Ovis aries: one gene and its partners. The protein of the gene in region 2 interacts with the protein of the main gene of each other region in a pairwise test. Links are inferred from orthologs where the notes say so. Each region holds a gene or a part of one and is shown on either strand. Other genes may lie near its edges. The genes, in order: PPP1R3C, EPM2A and PPP1R3D.

Region 1 (9,962 bases), on a different chromosome or scaffold from region 2:
TCTTAGCGACCTCGTGGACTGCAGCCCACCAGGCTCCTCCATCCATGGGATTCTCCAGGCAAGAGTGCTGGAGTGGGGGGCCATTTATCCTTCTACTTTTCTGTATATTCATTCTATTAATTTTTGAGAGTTTGATATTGAAACTCCAACTAAAAATCTTTGTTAATCAACTTCAAAAATAATTATAATATATAGTGGAACTATATGTAAATTGGTTCTATAGTTTCCAAGTCTCCTATAAATGTGGTATCATACTTTCATAATTTAAAACATTCTTTAGAAGAGGAAAAAATGTCTGCAGCCAGATACAGCCTGTAAGCCTGTGGTTCACAACTTCTGATGAAGAAGATGTTATGATAAAATTTGTTTTTCATCATTGGGTCTTTCTAGAACGTTGGTTATTCCCCCTTAAGAGACCCTGTGCAGAAGCCCTTTCTGGAGTTTTAGGCAAGAACTGGAACTAAGATTTTGTTTCCTGGACCTGCTGCTTCCTACCCCGAGGAGCTGAGCCTCCCCTCAGTCTGGGACTGACGCCCTCTGCCTGCGACACAAGCTCTGCCCTTTCACGAAGGAGCTGGAACTCAGGAGACAGCTGCTCCAGCCCTTTTCACACCATCCCCTCCCCCACTTCAAGCTGAGAAGTGGCCCCCAAGATAAAACTGAGAGTGTGTGATGAGCAGTCAACACAGATGGGGACAGTTGCAACAGCCCAGGTCACTGCCTCTAGACCCCAGCCCCAATGGTCAGGAGGTCGAAATTCTCACTAATGAGACTGGGACCATGGGAATACCTTCAGGCGGATCCAATTCCTGGTCCAAACTAACCTTGCTCAGTTAAACAAAACAGGAGAATCTCAGTTGATGGTTTCTTATTTAACTAACTGGGACTTTGAGAAGGAAAACATTCTCAGATCTTATATCAAACACTTTTATTTTTAAAGTGAGAAGTTCACAGAGGATAGCTACAGGAGAGTGAAATATTTAGAGTAGAAAAATTGTGGGTGCTAGCCAAACCTCAAATACTGTCACAGCAGAGTTATTCCAATAACTTTTCCAGCATGGCATATCACACGTGTTAAAATTAACTGCATTCTCAGAATACCTTTCAACGGATGTGCGTGATGATAGAAGTGAACATTCAGAGGCTCCTGTTTTGAAGATCTTACAGAATGGATTTATGCACAGTCCAAAACAAAGTATATTACAACACACCCAAAACAATTCACATCCATTTAAAAAAAAATGTTGACTTTCAAGAAATTGGTAGGAAGACTTAAAATAACAAGAAGAATATAGGCAAGAAATGGCTACTTTTATGTGCAAGGTACTGGATTCTTGAATTGAGAATCAGTGTCAGTCTTCACTTCCAATATCACATTGATAAAGTATGGCAGAAAAACGAATCACCTTCAATATGAAGGATGTGAGTTGCCCACACTGACAACACTCTTGAAGATACAACAGTGTCGCAAGAGGAATGCCAGCAAACAGAGGGGACCTTCTGATGAGGTCAAACACTCATGAGTTATCAGATGACCCTTCAGATACTTGGGTTAAGCAACTACAACATTCTGGTTTAATCAAGGCACTTGCAGCGAGTGATCCTTGACATGACATAGAGTTCCTACCAGTTTCTGGCCAATGATGAGGGCATGGTTTTTTTTTGGTTAGGCAGCATCTACACTGAGAACCCAGGCATAATACCTGGGCCACAGGTAAGGTCACTTATCCCACTAGGACTGCAAAGCCAGATTTGCTTAAGGTTTCCCCAGATCATGATTTTTGATGAGTCACGTTTGAACAAAAAGGCTTCATGTAAAAAATCTGATTCTCCAGAGTTATAATTCACCTTTCCCCAATAACCACCCAATACCCCTAAAGTTTGTTTGGGTTCTTCTCCACGAGAATGCCTAGAATGGATCTTTTTCTCCCCCCTACAAATTACTTCCCCAGGAGAAACCTGTAAAACCAACTTAAAAAAACAAAATAACCTTCATTTTCTCACCAACGGTTAAGTATCAGACCTCCTGCTCCTACTCTGACCTGAGCTGCAGAGCCCTTTGTGTATACTTTTCAGACATTCCTCATACCATTAACACAGCTTTCCATCACCATCCACTGTCCTTCCTCAAACCTTTCCTTGCCCAAGATGAAAGCCAGTGCATTGAGAGGGAAGGAGAAAAGGGTATAGACAGAATATTACTTTTACAAAAATAGGGTTCCAGGCTTTAACTTGATCCTCCACAGCAACACTGGGCACTGTCATCCATACAAACCCCTACACTAAATTCTCAAGGGGCTATCTTTTTTTTGTAGCCAGGTCTCAAAAGCTCCAACCTAAACCTACTGAAGGAAAGTAGCAACGCCTTCCTAAGATTGAGCAACACAGACCTAGAATTACATGGGGAATAAGGTCAAGACTGGTCACCAGGTTGCTTCATTCATCGGTAAGAGGCCAAGTTCTCCATCCTCCCCCAGCTCTGCCATTCTGGGAAGAGCCCACTGGCCAGCCTTGGACTGCCAAAGACTGTCGACTCCAGCTCGGCCTTGGCAGGTGGTGCCTGGTGGAAGGCACAGTCCTGGGCTGCCATCTGTGTCTGCACCCCATCGGGTTTCCACTGTGCATGGACGATTCTGTAATTCTGACCCTCGTTGTTGTCCCAGAAGACCTGCCCGTTAGCATGGTAGGCGACACAGAACTCAATTTTCTCCTTTGTGGGGATGACAGAGGGTAGGTCAATGGCAAACGAGAAGGTGTCACTCTCCGAGCCACCGTACACATTTTTCATGTAGGCACAGTCCACGTCGTTGTAGCTCTGCCAGGAGTCAAAAGTGATCCGGATCTGAACCTTCTTCTCAAAGCTCATGTTCTTCACCTTCACAGTCCCCGTCACTGTTCGCTCCTGCAAAGAGCAGTTCTCCAGGCAGACAGAGTTCTTCTGGAAGTGGTTCCGAAAACTTAAGTAGTCAGCTGAAGGCTGAGGGAAATCCAGAATCAGGTTCTTCTCCTCGTGGAGCTTTAAGCCTGAGGAGATATCATTCAGGTCCAAGAGGTCAAACTGGAGATCCCACATGGGCTCCTCGGGAAGGTCTGAGAAGACATGGATGGCGGTGAGGGAGAGGCCCTTAGAGTCCGCAAACACCACCCGCTTCTTGGCTTGGTTGTGTGAAGGCTTCCAGCCGTCCTGAGCTCTGGCTTCCTGTTTTATGTTGAGACACGGCTTTAGGGGCTTTAATTTGTTCACAAAATTTCTTCGTTGGAAGTCATCATAAGGGCTCAGGAAGCTCTTCAGAGGTGGGGAATGAGCCAAGCAGAGCCTCACAGCGACATCCACGGGCATGACTGAACTTGTCAGAGGCCGTGGATCTAAGACCTGGATCATTCTAGAATACAGAAAGAAGAGGGGTTATCATCTGCACCTAGAATGCACTTCCCCTGGTCCCAAGTAGGTCTGTACTATTTTTGTTGGCTATTACAGCCAGCACAGCGCTCTCACATGAAGTAAAGGAATGCAGGATTAGGTGATAAAAGCTGCATCTTACGTTTGGCTCTGCCCTTGACAGGCTATAGGCCACGGGTTAAAACACTTGGTGTCCCAGTTTCTCCATCTGAGAAATAAAAGATTTGGATGGGATCAACTCTAATACAGCTCTAAAACCATTTGCTCTGTTCTGGAGCACCAGTTCTCAAACCTGTCTGTTTTCAGGCAGGTTCCTTACTGTTTGAGCCACCACGGAAGCCCCCACCATGGCCTAGTGGGTTGGATTTCTTTTTTTTCAATGCAGAATCCTTGGACTTAGAGCCTCTAATGCAGAACCCCTGGGGATGGAGACAAGAATGTATATATGTTCTTAAAGCTTCCCAGGTAAGCCAATGACCAGACAGGTTCTAGAATCAAAGTTCCAAACTGCACTCCCTCAACTGCTTTGATGATTTTGCTATTGAATTAATTATACTTCTCTGGAACCATAATCCATTTAAAAAGAAAGAATAAAAACAGCAAAGGGTTTTGAGAGCCAAAGACTAGAAAGAGTAAATTAGAGGATTCTCTCTGCACTTTCATTACCATGCTCTTCCCCATTTTACACAAATAACCTACTGAAGTGCAAGGCAGCCATTTATGAATTTAAAAATCTTTACATAATCTGTATTTCACCCAAAAAGACATCCATGCCAACTCCACATTTAAGTGGGAAAATCTGATGATCTGAAAATTATTGTCATTATTTAGTCACTCAGTCATGTCAGACTCTTTTGTGACCCCATGGACTATAGCCCACCAGGCTCCTCTGTCCATGGGATTTTCCAGGCAAGAATACTGGAGTGGTTTGTCATTTCCTTCTCCAGGGAATCTTCACAACCCTGGGATTGAACCCGTGTCTCCTGCATTGCAGGCAGATTCTTTACCGCTGAGTCACTGGGAAAGCCAAACCTGAAAATAGGATAGTTTCAATAAATGTGTTTTATATATATATATATATACACACACACAACACATATATGAACTTATAAATGTTGAAAAGTCTAATAGGAAGCACAACAAAAAGTTAACAATTATCTCCGGGTGATAGGTGATCTATTTTTGCCTTTGTACTTTTTTGGTATTTTCAAATGTTCTGGCAATGGATATTTATAACTAGAAAGATAATAAAGCTATTTAAAATTTAGACATAACTATGCCCAGAAATATTAAACCATGAAGTGTCCATCAAGAAAGGTATTTTTTCTGGCCTTTAGCCCTGAGTATACATTGCCAAACTTATGGACATTTTTCCCCTACCCTAGCCTTCAGATAAGAAGTGTGTGTATACTGTATGTGACATTTCTCGTTCCGGCTTTAGTAACTGTCTTCCCAGCAGCTCTAAGCACATAGCCAAATGGTCATTATCATAAGATGGGTAATAAAAGAATATTCTGAGAATTCACTTTATTAGCCCTAGGATTTTTCTGGGAGACCTACAAACTTAGAACAAACAAATGAGAGAGAAAGCTATATTTATTGGTCTAATAATAGTTAACAGGCGGAAATTTTAGAGACGTCTTCTGCTAAGTTATGTCTAAAGAAGCTATTTAAGTAGTTTTGTGGGTGGTTTTTTTGTTTGGGGGTTTGCCCTGTATTTTCACATTTTGCACTTATCTAAAGACAGTTTCAGGATACGGCGATTTCCCTGGAATGTTAAGTCTGGCCGAAGAGTTTAAAAATAATCATTTGCTCAAACTCCCGAGACTGGCTTTGCTATGGCAAACCGTCAGAAGAAGGAAAGAGGACCAAGGAAAGTGAACATCGTCCATCGTTAAGTTTTTCCCAAAGCTAAACTACACAGCCAGCAATCTGAGTGCTCTTCCCACGAGTCCTTGAGACCTCTGTGCAGGACCAAGAGATACGGTTAGAATCCACGAGGGAATCAGAACTAAAGCTGACTCACGTTTCTGGTTTAAGATGCCGTTTACCGAAATCAGCTCTGCCTAAGATGCTCAGAGCAAATCTTCACACCTCCAAGGCCTCCCCAGCGCCAGATTCTTCAGCAGCCTGTCAACCCGCCCTCCCCTGGGGTCTCCGGGGCGGGGATGACAGCAGGAAAACGCATCCCAGCCTCCCGACAGCTGCGCGCTCCCTGAGCTCCGGGTCGGAGAATCTGCAGGGAACCTACCTGGTGCAGCTCATCAGGCAGAGGAGCGGCGGCACTCCGCGGTTTGCGAGAGTTCGCACGCGTCTCCCGGGAGTCCCCGAGTGGCCGCAGCTCCGGCAGATCGCGGGTGCGGCCCCCGGGAGGCCGCTTAACTGCGGGGGACCACGTGAGCCGACTGCCACGGCCAATCGCTGGGCCGCGGGCTCGACGGCGCGACCAACCAGCGCTCAGCTGGGGCGCGAGCCCTTGCCGGGACGTGACTGCCGTGGTGCAGGGCTCGCCGGGCGCTGGGGGCGCTCTGGGACCCCGGGCCAGCTGGCCGGGGTAGAGTAACGCGAACCCCGGGCGAGGAGGCGTGGAGGCAACCGCGTAGCACAAGTAGCCGGCGCAGGCCAGGAGGGAAAGCAGCAAACCTCCTCCCGCGCGGAGCGCCAACACAGCGGGGCTGCAGGGAGGGAGGTGTCTCACTCGCGAGGCTTCTGTATACAGTTATCTGAGGGCAGGACACTGTGGCTCGTTCCGGGGACGCGTGGAGGGGTGGCGGTGGGGGAAGGGGATGTGTGTGTGTGCTTATATTTATAGTTTTGAAATGTTTATCTTGTTCATTGCTTGGTGCATTGGCTTATCTTCTCCCTTTCCTTGCCCTGAGCAATCAGAAGTTGACTGCATATTTTGGGGTTAGGGTGAACCCGGAAATGCACCACACAGTACATTCTTCTCTAACCAATATTGTTAATAAACCGTGTTAGTCCGTATTAAATGCTTCAGCCCTGTCCGACTCTTTAAGATCCCATGGACTGTGGCCCGCCAGGTTCCTCTGTCCTTGGGATTTCCCAGGGAAGAATACTGGAGTGGGTTGCCATGCCCTTCTCCAGGGGATCTTCCTGATCCAGAGATTGATCCGGGTCTCCTGCTTTGCAGGCAGATTCTTTACCATCTGAGCCACCGGCAGTCTGTGTTAGCCCTATTATAAGACAATGAGGCAGCATTTCATTAAAAGGTACTTTGTATTTCAATCTAGTCTTCAGCTTTTCTCCCTGGAAGAGAAAACTAAAGCCAGAAATGAAAAGGCCTCTTTTGCTCATGTGGTGGGTCAGCCCGCAGAGCCAGTGGTCAACCCAAATCCCTCATCTGGGTTCTGACGTCCTCTGGCAGCGATGTGAAAACCAAAATGTTAAACTATCACACTGTAAGTTTCATGACTCTCCCAGGCCGGTTATTCTCATCGAGGTTTTGTAATTTTGTTTAGTTTGGGGAGTTTTTAGACCATCATCAGTTACAACCATAAAATTAAATTTCTAAGTCGAGTAGGAATTGTTTGTATAAAGTCCATGTCCTTGCTCTGCTCTCAATTTAGTTATCCAGCAGTCCATAAAAATGTACAGAATATACAATGTAAAATGTACAAAAATCCCTATGTCTTTAAAATCACCGTTCAGCAGCAGCAGAAGTGTTAAAATGGTGTGGTTAAAGAAAAAGTGAGTTATCACTGGGGCAGTTATTTATCACTTGGGCTTGATTTTTTAAAGAAAACATCCAACTAAAAGCAGATCTTCTAGTTTCTCAGAACAACCAAAACTAGCTGAAGGGGCACTGTTTGGGTTTGACACTTTCAAATCTAGACAAGTTTGAGCTTCAACTCCCTCATCAGTAAAATGGAGATAGTGAAATTGTTCTGAGGATTAAATGAAACTGTACAGATGAGAAAACTCAGCAAAGTGCTTGGTATGTGTTCAACAACACTATGTTGAGCTAAAGAGTGGATATTACCAATTACAGTTACAGAGAAACATGAAATAAGAAAAATAAATTGTGATCCCATTTTAGGGGTAAGACATGCATATATGGAAAAGAGAATATACTCGACCGAAACGTTAACAGTGCTTAATTTGGGGCAATAGAGATATTATGAATAATTAAAATTTTATTTCTCATTCTGTGGGCTTCCCTGGTGGCTCAGATGATGAAGAAGCCGCCTGCTGTGTGGGAGACCTGGGTTCAATCCCTGCATTGGGAAGATACCCTGGAGAAGGGAATGGCTACCCACTTCAGTGTTCTGGCCTGGAGAATTCCATGCACTATACAGTCCGTGGGGTCATAAAGAGTTGGACATGACTGAAGACACTAATACTAACAAACTGAGCAACTTTCACTTTTCACTTTTTTGTCATTTTGCTTCTCTGTATTTTTTATTTTTTCTACAGTGAAGAAAACCTGGACTTTTTCTGTAATTGAGAAATCATCATTAAATGACTTAAGACTTTCAGATTCAGCTAACATATATACCTTACCTACTAGGTACTAGGAACCATGTTGGAAGCTTTGACATGCTTACACCATTTACTCATAGTCCTTTTGAGTTTGGGCTTCTTTCCATTCAAACTGCTTTCTCTTCTGCCCCCTGGTGCTGACTGATGCCATAAAAGCCACTATTCTGAGCTTAAAATAAAAATCAGGGATACAGGGCTGTCTCCATTGACATGAATCCGCCACAGGTGTACATGTGTTCCCCATCCTGAACCCCCCTTCCACCTCCCTCCCCATCCCATCCCTCTGGGTCATCCCAGTGCACCAGTCCCAAGCCATGTCAATGTATGGCAAAACCAGTACAATATTGTAAAGTAATTAGCCTCTAATTAAAATAAATAAATTTATATTTTTTAAAATAAGGGCTGTCTCCAAAGAAGAGTCAACACTCAACTTCTAAACTGGATGGTCCAGGACTCCCATTTCTCTTCCCTCCCCTCACCTCAGATTTACTGAGATGTAAGTGATATATAACATTATGTAGGTTTAGAGTATACAAAGTATTAATCTGATGTATTGCAAAATGATCACCACCACAGCACTAGCTAAAACCTCCATCAAGTCACATAATTACCATTTCTTCTTTATGGTAAGAACATTTGAGCCGCTTTCAAGTGTAGAATAATACAGTATTATTAACCATGTGGTAAATTAGATTCCTAGAAGTTTATACTCTTTGACCATCTCCCCATTTTCCCTATACCCTCAACCCCTGGTAACCACCATTTGACTCTGTTTCTATGAGGTTTGCTTTTTTATAGTCCATATGTATATGAGATCATATGTGAATATTTGTCTTTCTGTGTCTGACTTATCTCAACTAGCAGAATCAGGTCCCTCATTTCTATCTCCCTCCAGGGTTTTACTGCTCTTCATTGTGATGAGAGGGACTGGAATGGAATCAGCATTCTTAGTCATGAGTTGCATCAATAAAGACACAGTAGATTAGGAATTGTGGGAAGTTTTATAGTTACTTGTAATTTTTCTCCAACTGCAGTTTAACAGCATCCAAACATTGCTTTGTCCTACCAGTCTAAACAATGAATCTATTGATGAGGGCTTCTTGATCTGTGCAGTGCTTCTAGCCATGCCAGGGGTTACAAGGATTCATAAGTCACAGCCCCTTGACCTTGAGAATGCTACAATCTTTATTATAGAAAACCAGATTTAAACTCATTAAATACCCAGGGAACAATTTAAGGTCCTACAAAGCAAGGGGCTGATGATATGTGACATACACAGTGTCTCTTCCACCATCTGTCCAACACATTACCAGCTACGGGAAACAGGGACAGGGAGTCCCAGCCAGTCAACTCATTTTCTCCAAACTTGCCCCTTTTTTCAGTGCCCAGTGAAGAAAGTTCTTGAATATACTTTACAGTTATTAATATTAAGATGCTAGTACTCAGTAGTAACAGGATGAACCTCGTAACTGATCTTCAAGCCCTGCCCTGTAGAGGCAGTGAGGTTGAGAACTGCTCATTTTCATGAAAAGAACTGAGATTTCCATTTTGAAGAGAAGAGAGAAGCCAGTTCACGTGACTCTATGAATAGTAAGCTCTCTCTTACACTGACTCCTGTCTTCTTTAGCCACGTGGGCTGGGCACACCAATAGCAAGTGAAGGAGTATAATTTAAAAAAAGAAAAACAGATACTTATGGAAAGTTTACTTTGGGTCAGGGACTGCTTTAAGCACTTTACAAATAAATATTAACTCGTGTAATATTTATAAGAATCCTAGGAAGTTGAAACCATGTTGATTATCCATATTTCAAGATGAGGAAACTGAGGAGACCTGGAGAGTTTAAGTAACTTGTCCGAGATCGTGTAGCTAGTAGACATGGGGCAAGACCAGGTTTCAAAACCCTCTGGAGTCCACACTCCAAGTGTGAGTTGCTCTGAAAAAAGACAAGCACCACACTGGTAACCACCAAAACCAAAAAGATGGTCTGTAGAAGGCCAGAGAGATTCAGAAAAAGGAGGGCTCCCTGGGGAATATCTGTGGAATTTGTAAGGAGGAAGTGA
Region 2 (9,806 bases):
ATATAGAAACAATAGAAAGTTTCCATTAGTAAAAAAAATAATTCCTGGAATTGAAAAAGGCAACCAATTGTAAAGTCATGGCACCCCACTCCAGTACTCTTGCCTGGAAAATCCCATGGACGGAGGAGCCTGGTGGGCTGCAGTCCATGGGGTCGCTAAGAGTCAGACACGACTGAGCGACTTCACTTTTCACTTTCATGCTTTGGAGAAGGAAATGGCAACCCACTCCAATGTTCTTGCCTGGAGAATCCCAGGGACGGGGGAGCCTGGTTGGCTGCCATCTATGGGGTCGCACAGAGTCGGACACGACTGAAGCAACTTAGCAGCAGCAGCAGCAAGAACAACAACAACAAAAGACTGAGACACAACCTGGTAAAATAATGTAAGGAAAAGTTTTTAAGCTTCAAAGAGGAAAAAAAAAAAAGTGCCAACAAAGAAATGGGCTTACTTTGATGTGAGAATTATCAACTACAACTGGTGCTAGAAGGTACTGAGGCAGTGCCTTCAAAGCAAACATTATTTTGAGACTAGAATACTGTACCAGATGACTAATCAAACGTGAAAGCAAGATAAAGACCTTTTCAGGCATTTAAGAACTCAGGTAGTTTATCTCTCAGTTACTGTTTCTTTAAATTATTTCAGGATACGATTGAATGAAAGGACTAAGATATTCAAGAAAGTGGAAAATGTGAATCCTAAACAATGCAATTAACGCAGGAATCCAAGTAAAAGCAACAACAATAATATAAATCCCAGATAGCTATGCTCAGAAAGACATACATCAATATAGGTGAAAATTAAAACAAACCCCCCAAATCTTCAAGGAACAATGTTTTCAAACTGTGAGGAATTTACATTCATCAGATAGTTCATTTAAACTAGGAAATTTTGAGGATCAAATGCTGTTCCTGTTTTTAAAAAGTAACTAGAAAGTTTAAAACAAGGTATAAAAAAACATTGCCACTCAAATATAAAGTAAAATGAACTCTGATATCATTTTACATAAAATCTGAGCATGATTTATAGTGTAAGAGAACTTTTCCTCCTAGTACACAGGTTTCATGTTACAGAATTATATTTCTAAACTTTTAAATTAGTGCAATTACACTACTTGGTTCTGCAATAATTATTTCCCAATCATAATAGTAAAAATAACAACAAGTAACACTTATTTAACACTTATATGTCCTATCCTAAGCTCTTTAGATTTATTAGCTAGTTTGGTCCTTTTAACAATAGCACAGTAAAGTTAAGTGACTTGCCCAAGGTCATACACTGGTTGGTGAAGCTAGACATTCTGGCTCTAGAATCCCTGCTCTTAAATACTGGCTATGCTGCTTCTCATTTTGCTGTCTGTTAACTTACAATTCTTTGAATCAACCTATCAGCCTAAAACAAAATGGCATAATAACAATTATACTACAAAATACAAATTATATAGAACTTAACATAGAAACAATGATTAACCGAAGTAAAGAAAAGGAAAGAAGTGTGCAGGTGTTATTTTTCTTAATCTTTTATATATACATGGGCTTCCCAGGTGGCGCTGGTGGTAAAGAATCTGCCTGCCAATTCCGGAGACATAAGAGACACAAGTTCTATTCCTGGGTAGGGAAGATCCCCTGGAGGAAGGCAAGGCAACCTACTCCAGTATTCTTGCCTGCAGAATCTCATGGACAGAGGAGCCTGGGGAGGAGGCCACAGTTTATAGGGCTGAAAAGTGTCAGACACGACTGAAGTGACTTAGCATGCACACATACAACTTTCTATATAAAAGAAGCATAAAAGAAGAAATTTCTACATAATAGAAAGTCAACAGTAAACTACATGAGTATAATGTAAAATAATAATATGAAAATCAGCAGGGAGGGGAGAGATAATGAACCTGAGCTAAATTTCTCATATTTCACAGCAAGTAAGATGATTAATTTTATAGGTATATAGCAGCAGTCAGTAGACATTGTCTAATTTTAAAGTGTAACATATAATTCATGTGGCAACTCTCAGAAAAACCTAAAAACAGAAAAATTCAAGTTGATACATTAAGAAATTCAGAAAAATATCTGAATTTGGGAGAATTCAGAAAAACTAAAAATAGAAAAGGAGGACTGGAAAAAGGGAAGATCTTTGTTTTTAACCATCTTAATTTTTATTAAAATTATCAGATATTACTTTATTATGAAAATAACTATGCAATACTACTAATAATAGAATATCCTATAAAGAAGGGCATAATCGATGAGAGTACCTTTCAATTGTCATGGTAACACAAAAGGACAATAAATGGTACCAGACTATGAAACTCAGTGGGGTGCAAAAAGAGGAACAAGGATAACATATAAACATATTACAGAACATTCATGCTCTTTGCTGATTCTTTGTTTCCACATCACTATGGCCACTCCAGTACTCTTGCCTGGAAAATCCTATGGACAGAGGAGCCTGGTAGGCTGCAGTCCATGGGGTTGCTAAGAGTCGGGCACAACTGAGCAACTTCACTTTCACTTTTCACTGTTATGCATTGGAGAAGGAAATGGCAACCCACTCCAGTGTTCTTGCCTGGAGAATCCCAGGGTCAGAGGAGCCTAGTGGGCTGCCATCTATGGGGTCGCACAGAGGCAGACATGACTGAAGTCACTTAGCAGCAGCAGCATGAGCTAAATGGCCCACTTTTTCATATAAACTTCCCCAGGGACCTTTCATCCACTTTAGACAACCACTGAGCCACACACGCTCCAGTCCCCTACTCTGTACGTTTCATTTAAAGAAAGGGCTGTCTAAATTCAAACTCGGGCAGGAGTCTACACTTGGCATCACTTTTTCAGGGAATAATTTGGCAACCAGAATAATTTGGCAACCCTTATTCCCTGGTGGCTCAGATGGTAAAGAATCTGCCTACAATGCAGGAGACCTGGGTTGGGTTCCTGGATGGGGAAGATACCCTGGAGAAGAGAATGACAACCCACTCCAGTATTCTTGCCTGAAAAATTCCATGGACAGAGGAGACTGGCAGGCTACAGACTATGGGGTTGCAAAGAGTTGGGCACAACTGAGCAACTAACACTACTACTACTACTGAAATGTAAAACACGGCTACTCTTTGACTTAACAATTTCACATCTCAGAATCTACCCTACAAAGACATTTCCAAATGCTCAAAGAGAACTTTATACAAGGACTTTCAATTAAGCTGTTACTGTTTATAACAGAAGATGGAACGCAATCTAAATGCACACTGGTAGATACAGAATATTTCATTACCATTTAGAAAATGAAATACATCTACATGGAGTAACACTAAAAAGTTTTTGCAACATGTTGCAGAGCAAGAAAAGGCAAGAAGGTGAAGATATTATACAACTTGTGTGTGAGACAAGTACACACTTCATATATTGGTATACATGGGCTTAGGGTGAGTGGAGGAAACAAGTTTTTACTTTTGTACATGTTTTTGCTTTTTTTTTTCCCAGCCACCACATGGTTTTGTATTTTTGTATTGGTTTTGTATTTTAAGAAATCAGAGCATATCTCCACTGCCAAATTATGCTGTGCTTAGTTGCTCAGTCGTGTCTGACTCTTTGTGACCCCATGCCTCTTGATGAAAGTGAAAGAGGAGAGTGAAAAAGTTGGCTTAAAGCTCAACATTCAGAAAATGAAGATCATAGCATCTGGTCCCACCACTTCATGGGAAATAGATGGAGAAACAGTGGAAACAATGTCAGACTTTATTTTTGGGGGCTCCAAAATCACTGCAGATGGTGACTGTAGCCATGAAATTCAAAGACACTTACTCCTTGGAAGAAAAGTTATGACCAAACTAGATAGCATATTCAAAAGCAGAGATATTACTTTGCCGACTAAGGTCCATCTGGTCAAGGCTATGGTTTTCCAGTAGTCATGTATGGATGTGAGAGTTGGACTGTGAAGAAGGCTGAGCACCGAAGAATTGATGCTTTTGAACTGCGGTGTTGGAGAAGACTCTTGAGAGTTCCTTGGACAGCAAGGAGATCCAACCAGTCCATTCTGAAGGAGATCAGCCCTGGGATTTCTTTGGAAGGAATGATGCTCAAGCTGAAACTCTACTTTGGCCACCTCATGAGAAGAGTTGACTCATTGGAAAAAACTCTGATGCTGGGAGGGATTGGGGGCAGGAGGAGAAGGGGACGACGGCGGATGAGATGACTGGATAGCATCATGGACTCGATGGAGTTGGGTCTGAGTGAACTCCAGGAGTTGGTGATGGACAGGGAGGCCTGGCCTGCTGCGATTCATGGGGTCGCAAAGAGTCAGACACGACTGAGCGACTGAACTGAACTGAACTGGGCTGTAGCCAGCCAGGCTCCTCTCTCCATGGGATTCTCCAGGCAAGAATACCTGAGTGGGTTGATATGCCCTCCTCCAGGGGACGGTGAAGGCAATGGCACCCCACTCCAGTACTCTTGCCTGGAAAATCCCATGGACGGTGGAGCTTGGTAGGCTGCTGCAGTCCATGGGGTTGCCAAGAGTGGGGCACAACTGAGCGACTTCACTTTCACTTTTCACTGTCATGCATTTGAGAAGGAAATGGCAACCCACTCCGGTGTTCTTGCCTGGAGAATCCCAGGGACGGTGGAGCCTGGTGGGCTGCCGTCTATGGGGTCGCACAGAGCCGGACACGACTGAAGCGACTTAGCAGCAGCAGCAGCCTCCAGGGGATCTTCCCGACCCAGGGATCGAACCCAGTTCTCCCGCACTGCAGGAGGATTCTTTACCTTCTGAGACACTAGGGAAGCCACATATTCTGGGCTTTGAAAAAAAATTCGAAAAGAGAAAACGCTCAACGTCTTGCCATTTGTTCAGTCTCAAATGGAAAAGAAGAAAAATAAAATACACTAAGCAGCATGCTGCCGTTTAGGATTAGCGAAAAGGCTAGCTTTACTGGGTGGGTCATTTTTTAGTGGATTGGGGCAGGAAAATGAGGGCACAAAAACAGTCACGGCGGAGTTGAGGAGCAAAACCCAGGGGCGGCGGGGCCCAGGGAGCCCGCCTCAGGGAGGATGCGGGGGGCCAGGCGGGCGGAGGCCAGAGCGTCTGGGCAGCAGGCGCAAGACACCAGGTCCCGGGTGTGTGGGAAAGAGGCCGGAGGGGTAGAGACCGAACTGACGGCAGACCGGGAACACAGCCTCCACCAGGGGAATCGGTCGGGAGCGGGACGCCCGGCTGGTGGCGACAGCTGGGCGGCCAGGCCAGGGTCAGCCCGGGGCGCCCGGGCAGTCCGGGCGGCGGGCAAAGCCCGAGATCCAGGCCGAGCGCCCGGGGAGCCGCGGGGGGACAGTGGAATCCGCCCCAGGCCGAGGCCGGGGCCCCGGGGTGCAGGGCGGCACAGCAGCCCCCGTACCTTCCCAGGAGAGCTCTCCTCCCGGCTCGCGCTTCAGGAACTTGTACCAGAACGTGTCCACGCGGCCCGGCTCCGCCCCGTCCTGCGCCGCCTCCTCCGCCAGCTCCACCTCCCCGAGCCACAGGCCCGGCTCCTGCAGCGCCAGCGCGCCCGCGCCCGCCGCCGTGCCCGCCGGCCTCAGACGCACGGCCCCACGCGGCTCCCAGTGCCCCAGCTCGGGCCGGGACCCCACGACAAGCAGCTCCGGCCCTGCCCCGGCCACGGCGGGCGACACCACCACCCCGAAGCGGAACCGCATGGCGGCGGCGGGCGGCGCGACTCCGGGTGCCCCGTGTCCCTGCGACCGGGAGACGCGGCCCGAGCGCTAGGCGGACGCGGCGATTGGGTCCCGGGCGCGGGCGGGGACACGTGCGAGGCTGCACCTTTTTTGGGCTGCATCACGCGGCCCAGGAGCCCGAGCCTGATCCAGGCCGGGGCCTCTGGCCGTGGGAGGTGGTTCGCTGCGGCCACGACCCGTCGCGCCGGGAGAAGGAGGCTGCGCCCGACCCGCGGCCTCTTCTAGCGGCTCCGCGGTTGGCTGGGGACCCGGGGAAAGCAAAAAAAAAAAAAAAAAAACGGGCTAGGAAAGCAAACTCCCCATAAACTCCGAGAGTTTCCAGTGACCTTTCCAAAAGACTCGAAATTATTTCTGTGATTATAGGAATAATGTGGTCTTTTCTATCAAAGAATATAATCAACTTCCTTCCTAGGAAACCCATGCCAGTTTGTAGTCTTAAGTTCCTGTACTGCATGGCAAATAGAAGGGAAAAGGTTGGAAATAGTGACAGAGTTCCTCTTCTTGGGCTCCAGACTCAGTGCAGGCTGTGACTGTAACCATGAAATCAGTGTGGACGGTAACTGTAGCCATGAAATCGGAATAGGATTGCTTCTTGCCAGGAAAGCTATGACAAACAGTGTGTGGAAAAGTAGAGACATTATTCTGCCCACACAGGCCGGTTTAGTCAAGGCTGTGGTCTTCCCAGTGGTCACTTTTGGTTGTAAGAGCTGGACCTGGACCATAATGAAGGCAGAACCCAAAGGCAGAATGCCTTCAAACTGTGGTGCTGGATGAGACTCCTGAAAGTCTCTTGGACAGCAAGAAGATCAAACCAGTCAAGAGAGAGATCAACACTGAATATTCACCGGAAGGACTGATGCTGAAGCTGAAACTCTGGTATTTTGGTCATCTGAAGTGAACAGACAACTCATTGGAAAAGTCCCCCATGCTGGGAAAGATTGATAGCAGAAGGAGGAGAGGGCATCAGAGGAGGAGGCATGACCGATGATGGACATGACCTTGGGCAAACGTCCAGAGATAATGAGGCATGGAAATGCCTGGCGTGCTGCAATCCATGGGGTCGCAGAGAGTCGGACAGGACTGGGCGACTGAACAACAACTAGGAAAGTTCCTGTAACCAAGCTGCACATGTTGGTAGGTCTCCAGCGTCGCAAGCGGATTCTTTACCAACTGAGCCACCAGGGAAGCCCCTCCCCCACCCAGATGCTTCATTCGTTCCCGGCCTCCTCACTTGGCAGCTGCTTCAATTGAATTAGCCAATCGCGCTGGATTGTGCTACCACGCTCCCATCAATCCGAATTGTTGTTGTTCAGTCGCCCTGTGCGAGTCTTCAGGGTCCCAAGGACTGCAGCACGCCAGGACTCCCGGTCCCTCACAATCTCCCAGAGTAAGGTACAGCATGTCAGGGATAAACACGGAGAGAAGCAGACTTCCCGCTCAGTGTGATTGACCGCCAGACTGTTATAGAGTATTTTTCTCATTCTCCCCGGCACGAGTCGGATTAGATTTCCAACAATTTGGGAGCTCGTCGGGGATCCACATGACCTGGAGAGATCGAATGAACTACCCACCCCTACAAGTAGCTAAGAAGCACCTCTTCTGGGGATATTTCTCCTACAAGGGAAACAGCTGGAATTGAAGCTACTGGAAAAGAGTGCAAGAAACCTCTGAAGAAAGAAGGGGGGTGGATGGTGATGAGCCTCCAGTCGAGTGCACACAATCAGAGGAGATGTGTGCGTGCTAACTCGCTTCAGTCGTGTCCGACTTTGCAACGTATGGACTGTAGCCTGCCAGGCTCCTCTGTCTGTGGAATTCTCCAGGCAAGAATACTGGAGTGGGTTGCCATGCCCTCCAAGAATCAGATGATAGGGATAAGGTCGTAAGAATTCTTCCTTAGGCAAGAAGGATTCCAAGGGGGAAAAGGCCAATAACTAGATTCGCCTAAATGGTCCCCTAGGACACATGCTCCAACATTGGGGAGATAATCCTAGGAGGAAAGGGAAAAAACAGATGGTTCTGTTTCATTTGGACTCAAGAACCTATGTTGAAACCATCAGTATTTTGGCCTAAGTTTGGGTTAGATGAAGGTTGGATCTGCCAATTGCTTATAGAGTTTGTTAATGACAGGAGTCCAGTTGCCCAGGAAGAAATAGATTATGTTCTTTGTTGGAGAAAGGGGCCAGTGGTTCTGTTCCCCTTAAAGATGGAACTAGGTAAAGAAAGGAGAAGGAAAATAGGAAGTGGGATCCTCTCAACTGTTAGCCTCATCCTTATAACCCAGGAGGCCTACAGCCTGAACTGCCCAGGAACCGCTTCAGGTAGAAGAGGAAATAAGAACAGAAGAGAGGGAAACCAAGATGGCCACCATGGCCTCAGCACCCTCTCCAGCACTGTTCCCCTCCCTTCCTCCACTGAGGAAGGAGATAAAACAATGTAAAGTGGACATTCAAAGTTCACCCTTCCCCTCAAAAGGAGAGAAACCTCAGGCCGTCTACTTCTCCAAGAAGTTCACCTAGGAGGAAGGGGAACTGGATTTGTGGACATCCCCCTTACCAGCTCCAAGGTTCAAGAATTGAAGAAAGAACTGAAGGCCCTACTAGAGGATCTACCTGGGGTTGCAGACCAGCTGGATCAACTTCTAGGCCCCCAGATTTTTACATGGGCCGAACTTATGTCTATCTTAGGTGTTGTGTTTTCTCGCTAGGAAAGATCAGTGATTCGGAGAGCAGCAATGGCCGGCTGATTCGAAAAGGAAATACCCAGCTAGCCCAAATGCCTTAGTAGCTGAAGTGAAATTCCCTAACCAAGAAGCCACAATGGGATAATAACAGTCCTGAACATAGGGGTCATATGAGAGATCTCAGGGACCTAATAATAAAAGGGATCAGAGAGTCAGTTCCCCAATCCCAAAATATTACTAAGGGCTTTGACATCAAGCAAGGAAAAGATGAAGGGCTGGTTGAATTTCTGAGTAGGTTAAAAGACCAAATAAGAAAATACTCTGGATTGAATTTAGATGATCCTCTTGGCCAAAATATGTTAAAATTGCATCTTATAACTAATACTTGGCCAGGTATTTCTAAGAAATTACAGAAATTAGACAATTGTAAATATATAAGTTTAGAAAAATTAAGGGAAGCCAGAAGGTATATGTAGGTAGGGATGAAGAAAAACAAATAATTAATGTTAGAAACCAAATTTCCTTGGACCAAGTGCCTCCCAATTACTCTTCTCAGAATCAGAACTGCCCCTCATAAGAATACTGGATTATTCCCATATGAGATGCTGTATGGCTTACCATATATGGGTCCAATTGCTGACCTGCCAAGCCTGGAAACTAAAGACCAATTTCTGAGAAATAAATACGTGGCCTCTCCTCTACTCTGCCTTCTCTTAAGTTGCAGGGCCTGTTGGTTGGCTCAGGCTCCATCCTTGGATTTCCCATGCATCCTCATCAGCCTGCTGATCGTGTTCTGAGGAAAACCTGGAAGGAAGACAACTCAAACTGGCCTGAGAAGGACCTGATAAGGTACTGCTCATGAAGGAAACAGCTGCCCGCACTGCAGAGAAAGGTTGAACTCATTATAGGAGAATCAAAGGGACTCCATCCCCTAACAAAAAAGAACAATGGGCTGTGGTCCAACACTCCAATCCTATAAAGCTGTCTTTGAAAAGACTTTAATATCCCTCTTGGTCATTCTGTATACCAAGATGCTGATTGTTGGGGGCAGCCCTTATCAGGTCAACTTAATTATTAATGTGACCATTAGCATGGATCCCCTAACTGTGAAATTTGATGCTTTCCAGGTCTTGCCTTATGGTGACCTACACAGCCAAAAACAGCTATCTGAAGAACATAAGTACCTTTGTCCTGAACCATATCGGGCATGTCAGGAAATGATCCATGACAACTCTCCTGCTATATTTGGGCCAAAGTATGGGGGACTACCCAGGACTGGTTACACGGCTGAGCCATATAAAGCAGCTCCCACCCTAGTGGAACTAAAAGATTATCCCTGGCAAGGGGGGGTCTCTGAGATGATTATGGGAATCTACAGTGTAACCCACTGTTGTTAACAGTCAAACCAGAGA
Region 3 (10,002 bases), on a different chromosome or scaffold from region 2:
AAGGAAAACTGTAGCATATACAACCTACACCTTAAGCCAAAAGCTTATCAAAGTGTCAGCATATCTTTAAATAGAAAACACACTAGGGAAAGCAGTGTTTAGAGGGATAGGAATAAAATCACACAATGCCTTATAACAATATAAATTTTTTAAAAGGCTTAAATGCTACTTTTTTCTTTAAAATTTTATCATTTTAAAAAATTGAAGTATAGTTGATTTTCACTGTTGCGTTAGTTTTTGGTGCACAACAAGGTGATTCACTTATACATACATATACATTCTTTTTTAAAAATATTCTTTCCCACTATGGTTTATCCTAAGATAATTTTTAACACAGCTCCCCCATGCTCTGCAGTAGGGCCTTGTTAATACTGCCCTTTGAGTGGTGGGGAGGCAGATCTCATGAATACTGTACACATTACTAGCACGGCAACTGATTCATCCTCTAATTTATTTCTGAGGCAGCATCTCATCTCAGAGGTGAAGATATTTTCTTTTCTACTTATTTACCAACAACAGTGTACTTTACCAAGATGAATAATACTTCTCAGCAACATCAGTCTGGTGTGGTTTAAAAAAAAAAGGGATGGTAAACATGCTTCGTGGAAACCTCAGAGGTTCATTTGCCGCAGGTCTCTACCACAATAAGCGATTACTTGAAAATGTGCCACCTCTTAATAAACATGGAGGAGGTTAAATTATTGCCAGCAGCATAACATGTGCTCAATAAATGTTGAAAAAAGTGAAGAAATGGATAAAGTAATTGCCATGATTTAGAACTCATAACCGACATTGTTAAAACTTTCCTTTACCTCTAGCTGTCTATGTGCATCCATAAAAGTTATTACTAGTATCCTTTTTATAGAAAAGGAAACATAGAAAGATGATTAGCCAAAATTGTGGATTCTGCTAACAGTGCAAGAATTATGACCTCCTAGAATTTTTACCAACTAGTAATGTTTAAAACCATTTCTGTCAGACAAGAAATATGGTGTATATACTTTTGTCTACAGACATATTTTTCTCCCAGCCACACATATCAATCTGGAGAACATGCTCCCTTTGCAAGATAAAGTAATTACATGAAAAAGTATTTACCTGGTTTTCTGATAAGATTCATTCACCCTATTCCCTTTCTTGAAAAATTCACATGGCTGATCATCATTTAGGGTTGGATAGACTGTCTAAAAAGAAAGACATATAGTTAATAAACACCCTAAACACACACACACACACACGAAACATGAAAAACCAGAACAAATCTAAATGAGATTTTTACTTAAGTTTACATCACCTTTTCTGTAGTGCTGGAAATATTCTTGCTCAATCTGTTGGAAGATGCTGACAGCAGGGGAAGTGGCTTCTTTCCTCCTCTAATATTTGGGCAGGGTGCCTGACCACCGGAACTAGAAGCAACAGAACAGTGTCGCTAAGTACCAACTGCAAACACCCTATCACCCTTATCATGCTGCTTTTCACTTTTTTGTTCTTAAATATTCAAATTGTATAAAAAGTTTGAATGGGGGAATATTGCCTTCTATTTATGGTTTAATCTATTTTGCTTGTTTTTCACAGTGGGTATTAGATACAAGATCACACTACTATAAATGGATTTCATCTCTCTCCCCATACACACACACACACACACACACACAAATGCACATACACACACATGCACATACACACAAAATCTCCTTGGAAATAATTTTTTGAGGACTTCTGTGGGGCTAATTAAGTTTGGCTGTTACTCCAAAGTTCCTGTGTCCATTCATTCATTCCTTCGACAAATAGAGTGCCTAGAAAACAGCAGGGTTAGATACCTATCCTACTCTCATGGAGCTTGAACTCTATTGGAAAGGCCCCCTTTCAGGCCTCCTGCCTTCACTGTCACATCAGTCCATGAAAAATTTATCAGTGTAATACATATCACGCAATGTTCTCTCTCTGTGACATTTTGTCGATTGGTACCACCCAAGGCTGCTTCTCCGCTCTTGAGTGGTCTACTAAAAGTGCCCCATTTGAATGTGAATCTTCTTTCTTCCATAAAATCCCCTGCCTCTGAAAAAATGGAAGAGTTGGGATTATACATTTTTATTTCCCTCCTAAAACTCTGCTCTGTTATTTTTCAAAATAAGCAGGTATGCCATTTTGGTCCCTGTACATATGATGAGAAGGAAAACCACATGCGGGCCCTTACAACCAATGAATGAGACCATAATCAACTGCTCGATTCGTTTCAGATGTAGAAAACATTCTTCATCAACCCCCTTCATTAGTCTGGTTTTCCTGCTGCCTTGTCCCTCTAGATTGTATAGGAACACTCTAGAACTCTCTAGAAAGTGCACTCCATCTTCTCCACTTCATTTCACCTGGCAAGCTTTACACCCTGGGCTATGCTGTTTTCTGGACAAAGTTACTGAGAGCAAAGAGGTGACAGCCTGCACGGTCCCTAAGGATGCTGAAAGCAAGCTCTGGTTTCCCTGAAGGTTCGGGAACAAAGCTAAAAGTCTGGATTCTGCCTACAAAAATGTGTCCCAAGCGCCAGAGACTGTTTAAAGGCAGCCTTATTATTTGTCACAGGGTCTTAACCCTTGTTCTCATATCTTCCTCTCCGGTTTGGAGCCTCTCTGGAGACAGCAGTAGCAGCAGCGCCGCCCCCTCCCCAACCCCCAGGGACAAGGCTAGCGGTCCCCGCAGCAAAGCATTGTGGGTGATGCGGGGACAGGACGCTTCTCGTCTACGCAGCCAGGCTCCCACGGTCTGGCCTAGGGTCCGTGTTGCAGCGCAAACGTCCAGAGAGCTGGCTACCCTCGAGGCTTAAAATGAGCCGGGGACCGGCTCCTGAGCAGGCCGAGTGGTGCGCCCCTCCCCCGCCCGCGTTAGCCCAGAAATCCGGTGACCGCAGCGTGCATGCTCCGGGTCCTCCGCGCGAGCAGACGCCGATCTGGGACCGATCGGCGCGCTGGCCGGCCGGACGCAGACAGACACTGACCAGACCTGTTTCGCGGCCGCGGAGGACACGTGACGCGGGGCAGGGCGGGAGGCAGACGGCTGCGCTGGGCCGCGGGAGTCCGCGCCGGCCGCGTCACGAGGGGCGGGGCGGAGGCTCGCCGGGAAGTTGCTCCGACAAGTCGCGGCCGGGTGAGTAAAGCGCGGCCGGGAAGGGGCCGCTGGGCGGGGCAGCTGGGCGGACACCGCCTTCCCCGCACCCGGAGGAAGCCCGAGGCCGCCGCCACCCCGCGCTCCGCTGCGGCCTCGAGGAGCGTCCGCGCGAGGAAGCGTTCGTCCTGGAAACCAGCTTTTTTTTTTTCCCCCCTGCCCAAAGCGGAAAACCAGGGGGAGGACTCGAGGGACCAGGTGGCGGACGAGGGGAGCGCGAAGCCGGCCTACTGCGTCCTCTGCAGGCGGCGGTTCCAGCGGACCCTCCCCAGGGTCGCTGAGCACGTCTCGGGACACCGGAGGAGCGGACTCAGGGTCGGGAGGGAGGCCGCCCTTCGGTTCCGCCTCCGCATCTCTCGACGGTCGGCCGGGCCATGTCCAGAGGCTCGGGCTCGGCGGTCCTCCCCGCCACCGTTGGGTTCCGGAAGCCCGCCCCGCGGAGCCTCAGCTGCCTCTCTGACCTGGACGGCGGCGCGGCCCGGGAGCCGCGGCCCTGCCGGCCCCCGGGGAGTCCGGGCAGCGCGCCGCCGCCGCCGCCCGCGGCGTCCGGCTGCGACCCCAGCCTACGGCCCATCATCCTGCGGCGGGCGCGCTCGCTGCCCAGCTCGCCCGAGCGCCGCCAGAAGGGCGCGGGCGCTCCGGGTGCTGCGTGCCGACCCGGCTGCAGCCGGCAGCACCGCGTGCGCTTCGCTGACGCGCTGGGCCTGGAGCTGGCGCAGGTCAAGGTGTTCAATGCGGGCGAAGACCCATCCGTGCCGCTGCACGTGCTGTCGCGACTCGCCATCAACTCGGACCTGTGCTGCAGCAGCCAGGACCTGGAGTTCACTCTGCAGTGCCTGGTGCCCGACTTCCCGCCGCCCGTCGAGGCTCCGGACTTTGGCGAGCGCCTGGGGCGCCAGCTCGTGTGCCTGGAGCGTGTCACCTGCTCGGACCTGGGTATCAGCGGCACGGTGCGCGTGCGCAACGTGGCCTTCGAGAAGCAGGTGGCAGTGCGCTACACCTTCTCGGACTGGCGCAGCGCGCACGAGGTGGCAGCGCGGTGGCGCGGGCCGGCAGGCTCCGGGGGCTCCGAGGACGTCTTCGCCTTCGGCTTCCCGGTGCCGCCCTTCCTGCTGGAGCTGGGCTCCCGCGTGCACTTCGCGCTGCGCTACCGTGTGGCCGGAGCCGAGCACTGGGACAACAACGACGGCCGCGACTACAGTCTCACGTGCCGCAACCACGCACTGCACATGCCGCGCGGGGAGTGCGAGGAGAGCTGGATCCACTTTATCTGAGCTTCCTGGCGGGCCTCGTGCGTCTGGGACGTGGCCCTGCCTCACACTCCACCCCCAAGCCGGGGCTGTCGGACCTCGATTCCCGCAGCTGCAAGGTGTGCTCGCTGTGGCACGCCTATGCTTTTACTTGAAATGTCTGGGTCACTTGGTCTAAACCGTGGCCTCCGATGCCAGAAGGCCGGGCTGTCATGTGCTGGGTGGGGTGCTGGGTGAGTAGATGCACGAGTGAGTTGGCCCTATGAAGAAGGCCCAGGCAGGTGGTTTTGGAAAGGCCTGCGCCCTGCAACTGGGAAAGCCTGTGGCTTTTGCATGTGTGATCGCGTCTCTGTGAATATAGCTCTTATTTATCATCACTGCGATGTTGAAACATTTTACCCTTAGCCAGTGCCTTCTTGGGAACATTCTTAATAAGCTTAAAAAAAAAAAAAAGTTCATTCTTGTCTGTTTGTGCCCACTGTAAACAGAATGTATATGCTGTGACCCCCATCATGGTCCCTTGAAGCTTTCCTGCCCTGGGACAAGGAAAACCTGAAGTCACATTTGCATGCCAATGTCTGTAGGCTTCTAACAGCCGGGAAACTATTAATAGGCAAGAAATTGATGCCTCTTCCGTCATCATACAATCCTTCCTGGGAGTTCAGGCTGCCCCATTAGGCTGTGTGTCTCCTCCATCAGCAACTGCCAAGAAGGAAAACATTTAGAACTTTTAGTTAGCAAAACAGCCCCTTCTGCAGTGTTTCTTTGCACTTTATGTATTTTACATGTTTGATAATTGTGTATCTGCACTTTATCAGGCCACTCTGTTTAGGTTTGAGCTACCTAAGTATTTAAAGAAATTCCGCCTTAAGTTATTTCAGTTTTCAGGAAACTGTGGAATTTGGGCAACAATGCCCTTTACAATTACCTTTTTGACGATTATGGTGACTCTTGATGTCTTAAGTGTCCAGGATTCCAGCAATCATCATTCAGAAGTCACATTATCAAGTGGAACTAGCAGGTATTTTCAGCAACAACCAGACTGGAGGGAGAATACACAAATATTTATACATTTTAGTTGTTTTAAGCTGTATTTGTATATGCCTGGTTTTATCAACTACCTGCCAACTTTAATCTTTGTGCCTTCAGATAGATAACTTTGTAGCCTTGTCTGGACTTGTTTTCCAATTTTAAAATGTTAAATGCTTTTTTTTTTTTAACTTTCCAACCAAGAAGTCAAGGCCATTGTCTCCTGCAGAGTGCCACAACAACTTAAAACTCTCAGCGAGGGGCTATTTCTCTTGGTGCTGAGTGGTGGTCTGACAGCAGGTGCTAGCACAGAGGTGTGAAAACCCAGCTAAGGTGGAGGTGGTCTCCAACTTGGGAAGCTGGTTTCCAAGAGCTGAAGCCAGTTCGATAAATCTTGTGATAGCTGTCACCAGTGAATTAACTCTAAATATTTGAATGCTTGTTACCGTTTGTCAAGTAAGTATGCAAAGGATGCATTTTGCCTTTTAACCAATTTCTTTTCTTATAATGGCAACTTCAGTGTTTTTAAAAATTCCAGCAACAAGGATGGCTTTCTTTGGTACCTTCTGGTCTAAGAATATGGAACTCTGATTTAAAACATTGTGACTGAATTGAACAATCACTGGCTGTTAGCACTGTGTACTCCATTGACATGCAAGAGGCAAAGAAGCCTGGTCGCATTTCCTGCTGTTTGACAAACTGTCCAGTTAGGTCAGTAAACCCATGAGGGCCTTGGCCACTATGCCCTGGATCCTAGCCCAGTGTGCAAAGCAGTTGTCCAGGGTGTTCACATATGAGCAGGAGCTGACATATATTGCTATGTAAAGGCATGTGGAGAATCTTATAATCTGTGTAAAGATCATTTTCCAAAAAAGATCTGGTCACAGAATATGTAGTAAATGTTGTATCTTCAATATTAAGAGAACCTCCCTGTGCCTTTGAAAACTTTAAAGCTTAAATATACCTGCCTAGTTAATAAAGCAGCTTTGGGACAGCTTAAGATTTGCAGGCCTGAAAACACAGTGACATAGCCTAGATATTCAAGTTTTGTGTGACCTGTGCAGTTGTTGGGTTATCTCTGCAAACATATTTTAATACAAGCCATTTAAGATAACTTCACCTAAGCCTCACTATTAAAGTATATGTGCACAAGTTGTTGGTTGAAGTGTGTTTTTCTTGTGGCCTGATTAGTGTGAAACAAGGCTTTAGAAATGTGTTGATTAAGACATTTCACATGTCTTATCCTTCCTAGAATGCTGTCATGTTTAGTATCTTGCCAATATAAATAAATGCATTTTATGATGTCACCTGAGCTTCAGCAGCAGTCGTGTGTGTCTTTGAGAAACTGAGATGCATCCTTTTATGCCAGGTCAGTATTACATAGGAAGAAAGCTCTAGGAAAACACATACTTCATCTTATTGCTTATTGAAGCCCATGTAGGAATAACTACTGTGTATCTTCACCCCCCGCCCCCTCCACACACACATCATGGTGACTGTCACTCAATTACAGAGCTTTGAACACAGGGAAAGGAAACCAACTTATGTTCTCTCTTATTTGCTGGCCTACAATGCTAGGTGCTGTATTTGATGTCACTTAATCTTGAAAACTGCACTGTTAGATCAGTTCACTTCAGCCACTGAGTCCTGTCAGACTCTTTCCGACCCCATGAATCAGGCCTCCCTGTCCATCACCAATTCCCGGATCTATCTGGTAGATAATAGCCCCATTTCTCAGCTGAAAAGAATGAAGCTCAGAGAGATTTAAGTAATTCACCTAAAGCTCCACCGCTGGTAAGTAGCAAGGTTAGCATTCAAACCCACTGCAAAGCCCACCTTCTCTCTGCCATGTGAGAAGAGTTTGTTAAATTTAATTGAATGTCCATTCGGATTATGACTGATAAGGTTTTCCATCTAACATAAAGACCTATTTAAAAACAAGTCAAATGAAATTAAATAAAATCAATGATATTTTCTTGCATGTGGTAGTGACATTTACGACATAATCCTTGGATTTTCTGAACAATAAAAAGGGCTCTAAACGTTTTTCTTCTACTAAAAAGTGGCAAGGTGAGGAGTCATTGTTTTTAATTTTTGACCTGCTTGTCTGCTGTAATTTTGAATTCCCTAATTTACACCACAATCATCCATTGCTTTTATCATTTAAACTGATACTTTAAAATTGAAACATTCTAAAATCCCTGGGGAAACACTTCATTCGCTCAGTGCCAAGCCAAGACGGCCTCAGGGCTCTGTCCCCGTCCCCGAGGGGTCTGGGATTCAAGTTAGTGAGAGCACTCATTCGCAGAACCTGCTTCTAGGAAACCTGAGCAGGGCCTGGGCTGGAGACAGGGCCGGGGCGAGGTGGGCGTGGCCTGGGGAGCGGGGCGGAGTGCGGTGGTCAGCGGAGGCTGATCAGGAGTGGTTCTGCTGCCCTCTGCTGGCCCGCAACGTGGGCCTCTTTCAGGGAACTCTAACCACGCGTCCCCGCAGGTTCGTCTAGGGCCCTAGTGTCTCTGCGGTCCCGTCCAGCCTTCCCGGGTGGCTGTGGGGAGCCCGGGGATCTCCTAGGGCCGCTGGCGCTTCTGGCCCTTCAGGTTCACGTCCTGCGAGCAGGGCAGGCCCAGTCGACCCCTCCAGCGCGTCCACACCGCGGGAGGGAAGACAGAGCAGAGGAAGGACGCTGGCGCCTCCTCTCGTGGCGAGGCCGCTGGGCGAGCGGGGTCAGGGGTCGGGGTCTGGCCTGCGCGCGCGCGGCCTCCCACTTACCTGAAGCTCCGAGCCGCGCCTACCTTGGCCCTCCCTTTCCGGCCTTAGGAGGTGCCTGCGCGGGTGCGAGGGGCGGGACCTGTCCGGCGGCAGCGCTGATTGGACGTGGTGCCGAACCGCACGCGAAGCCGATTGGACGGGCGCTTCCCGCCCTCCCTTGGCCGCCTGAGGCGGAGAGGCGACAACGGAGGTTCGGGGACTCGACGCCGGGCTGCAGCGAATCTAGGAGATCCTCGCGGAGGCCTCTTCCAGCCGACAGATTGAGCTGGGTTCCCGGGAGGGCTTCCTTGACGGTGGGGCGCGTTAGGGGAGAGTTGCGGCGTCCGCTGGGCCTCCGGGGGCGGCGGAACTAGCAAGCGGCCCCCTAACCGTTGAGGCGGAGCCGTTGAAGAAACGGTCGCGGTGGCGCAGCCAAGGCTTGGGGTGGGGGCGGCCTCCGGCGGGGCGTCGGGTGGGCGGTGCGGGCCTCGCGCCAAAGAGTCTCGCGGCGTGTGGTCGTGAGGGGCCGGCGGCGGCCTGGACCGCGCTGGTCTTGCTCGGGTAGCTGGTGTCCTGGACGGGTATGGAGCTCAGGGGCGGGGTGCCGCGCGGGCCCGCGGATGACCGCGGACGCGAGCACTGATCAGAATCAGAACACTGATGGTGACGAGAGTGGACACGCGGGTCAGAGTTTCGGAACCGGCGCGGAAGCCCAGACTCTGGTCCCCTCCAGCCCCGACGGCTTAGCTTCTGGGACGATGTAAATGCGCTCAGGGGTGGCTGTGGGTGTGTGTTCTCGCGGCAGCGGTGCACACACGTTTCCCCTCTCCCCGTCCCGCAGCCATTCTTCGCAAGAATGTTCTCCGTGGCCCCTCCTTTCCGGGGTGGGGTCGTGGAGTCCACGGTACCAGCAGAAGGGTGATGAAATGGGTCTGGGGCTCATGGGCGATGCCATTTTGCAGCTGTTGGTGAAATAGCTTGTGTTAACACTTGAGTAGTGTTGGGAAGAGTCCGGATTCACGATCGAAACTGTTAGTAGTTTCCATTGAGTCAGCTTTGGGGAGGAAATGTATGCCTCTGACAAGTTGTTGGGTGTTTTTTTTAAACCTTAATCCTTTTATCGGCCTGCATATACACATTTATCCTGTAAGGCTTGCCTGGAACGCCAAATCTGCTTAGTTGACCGCCCCCCCCCCACACACACACACACATACACGCACGCAGACTCTTGAAAAATTATTATTCCGTGCTAGGTCTCCTAGATCGTTCTGTTGTTCCTTGTTCTAGTGCACAGAACTTCAAAGCCATTTAAAGATATTTTAAATTGTTTACTCGTGATGGTAGAAAGAAGTGTATCGCTTTACCCTCTAGACTCGGCCTTTCCTCTCAGCTGCAAATGTTTGTCTGGTTTAATGGCTAGTACCCAATTTGGGGCTCTGTTAAAGTCAATTTGCATTCAGCCTTGGAAGGAAGGGAGGAGTTAACTGGATTGTTGAGTTCAGTTTCCTTACTTAAAAAATCTTCCTGTGTAGATGCTAATTAATTTTCCTTCCCCTAGAGTGGTTTCTTGAACAAAAGTAGACTAGGAACTAAACCATCTTTTTAGCTTTGTGTGCCTCTTGGCCATAAGTAATTCTTCCGTGTTGTATTTCATGTCTCAGAGTACTTTGTAAATTACATGTAAATTCAAATTTACAATGTTGTGGTTGTGATGCTGGAAAGTGTAAAGTAATAGGCAGGTCTGCCCCAACAATTACTGACAGTAGGGAAAAAGTACAAATAGAGCCCCTGAAATATTTTAAGTATTCAAACTTTT

The links.
Region 1: the proteins of EPM2A (region 2) and PPP1R3C interact in binary tests that used the Homo sapiens proteins (3 or more experiments, as listed by UniProt). The link is inferred for Ovis aries from reciprocal best matches to the Homo sapiens genes EPM2A and PPP1R3C.
Region 3: the proteins of EPM2A (region 2) and PPP1R3D interact in a two-hybrid assay, tested with the Homo sapiens proteins (2 studies listed by BioGRID, with this or other methods). The link is inferred for Ovis aries from reciprocal best matches to the Homo sapiens genes EPM2A and PPP1R3D.

The regions. Positions count from the first base shown.
Region 1 is NC_056075.1:13,010,309-13,020,270, forward strand, and holds PPP1R3C (protein phosphatase 1 regulatory subunit 3C), read right to left. Parts: upstream 5,754-9,962; 5' UTR 5,666-5,753; coding exon 5,652-5,665; intron 3,384-5,651; coding exon 2,441-3,383; 3' UTR 914-2,440; downstream 1-913.
Region 2 is NC_056061.1:70,231,189-70,240,994, forward strand, and holds the start of EPM2A (laforin), read right to left. Parts: upstream 5,732-9,806; 5' UTR 5,676-5,731; coding exon 5,378-5,675; intron 1-5,377. UniProt on the Homo sapiens protein: Plays an important role in preventing glycogen hyperphosphorylation and the formation of insoluble aggregates, via its activity as glycogen phosphatase, and by promoting the ubiquitination of proteins involved in glycogen metabolism via its interaction with the E3 ubiquitin ligase NHLRC1/malin.
Region 3 is NC_056066.1:56,297,108-56,307,109, forward strand, and holds PPP1R3D (protein phosphatase 1 regulatory subunit 3D), read left to right. Parts: upstream 1-3,320; 5' UTR 3,321-3,533; coding exon 3,534-4,433; 3' UTR 4,434-6,750; downstream 6,751-10,002. UniProt on the Homo sapiens protein: Seems to act as a glycogen-targeting subunit for PP1. PP1 is essential for cell division, and participates in the regulation of glycogen metabolism, muscle contractility and protein synthesis.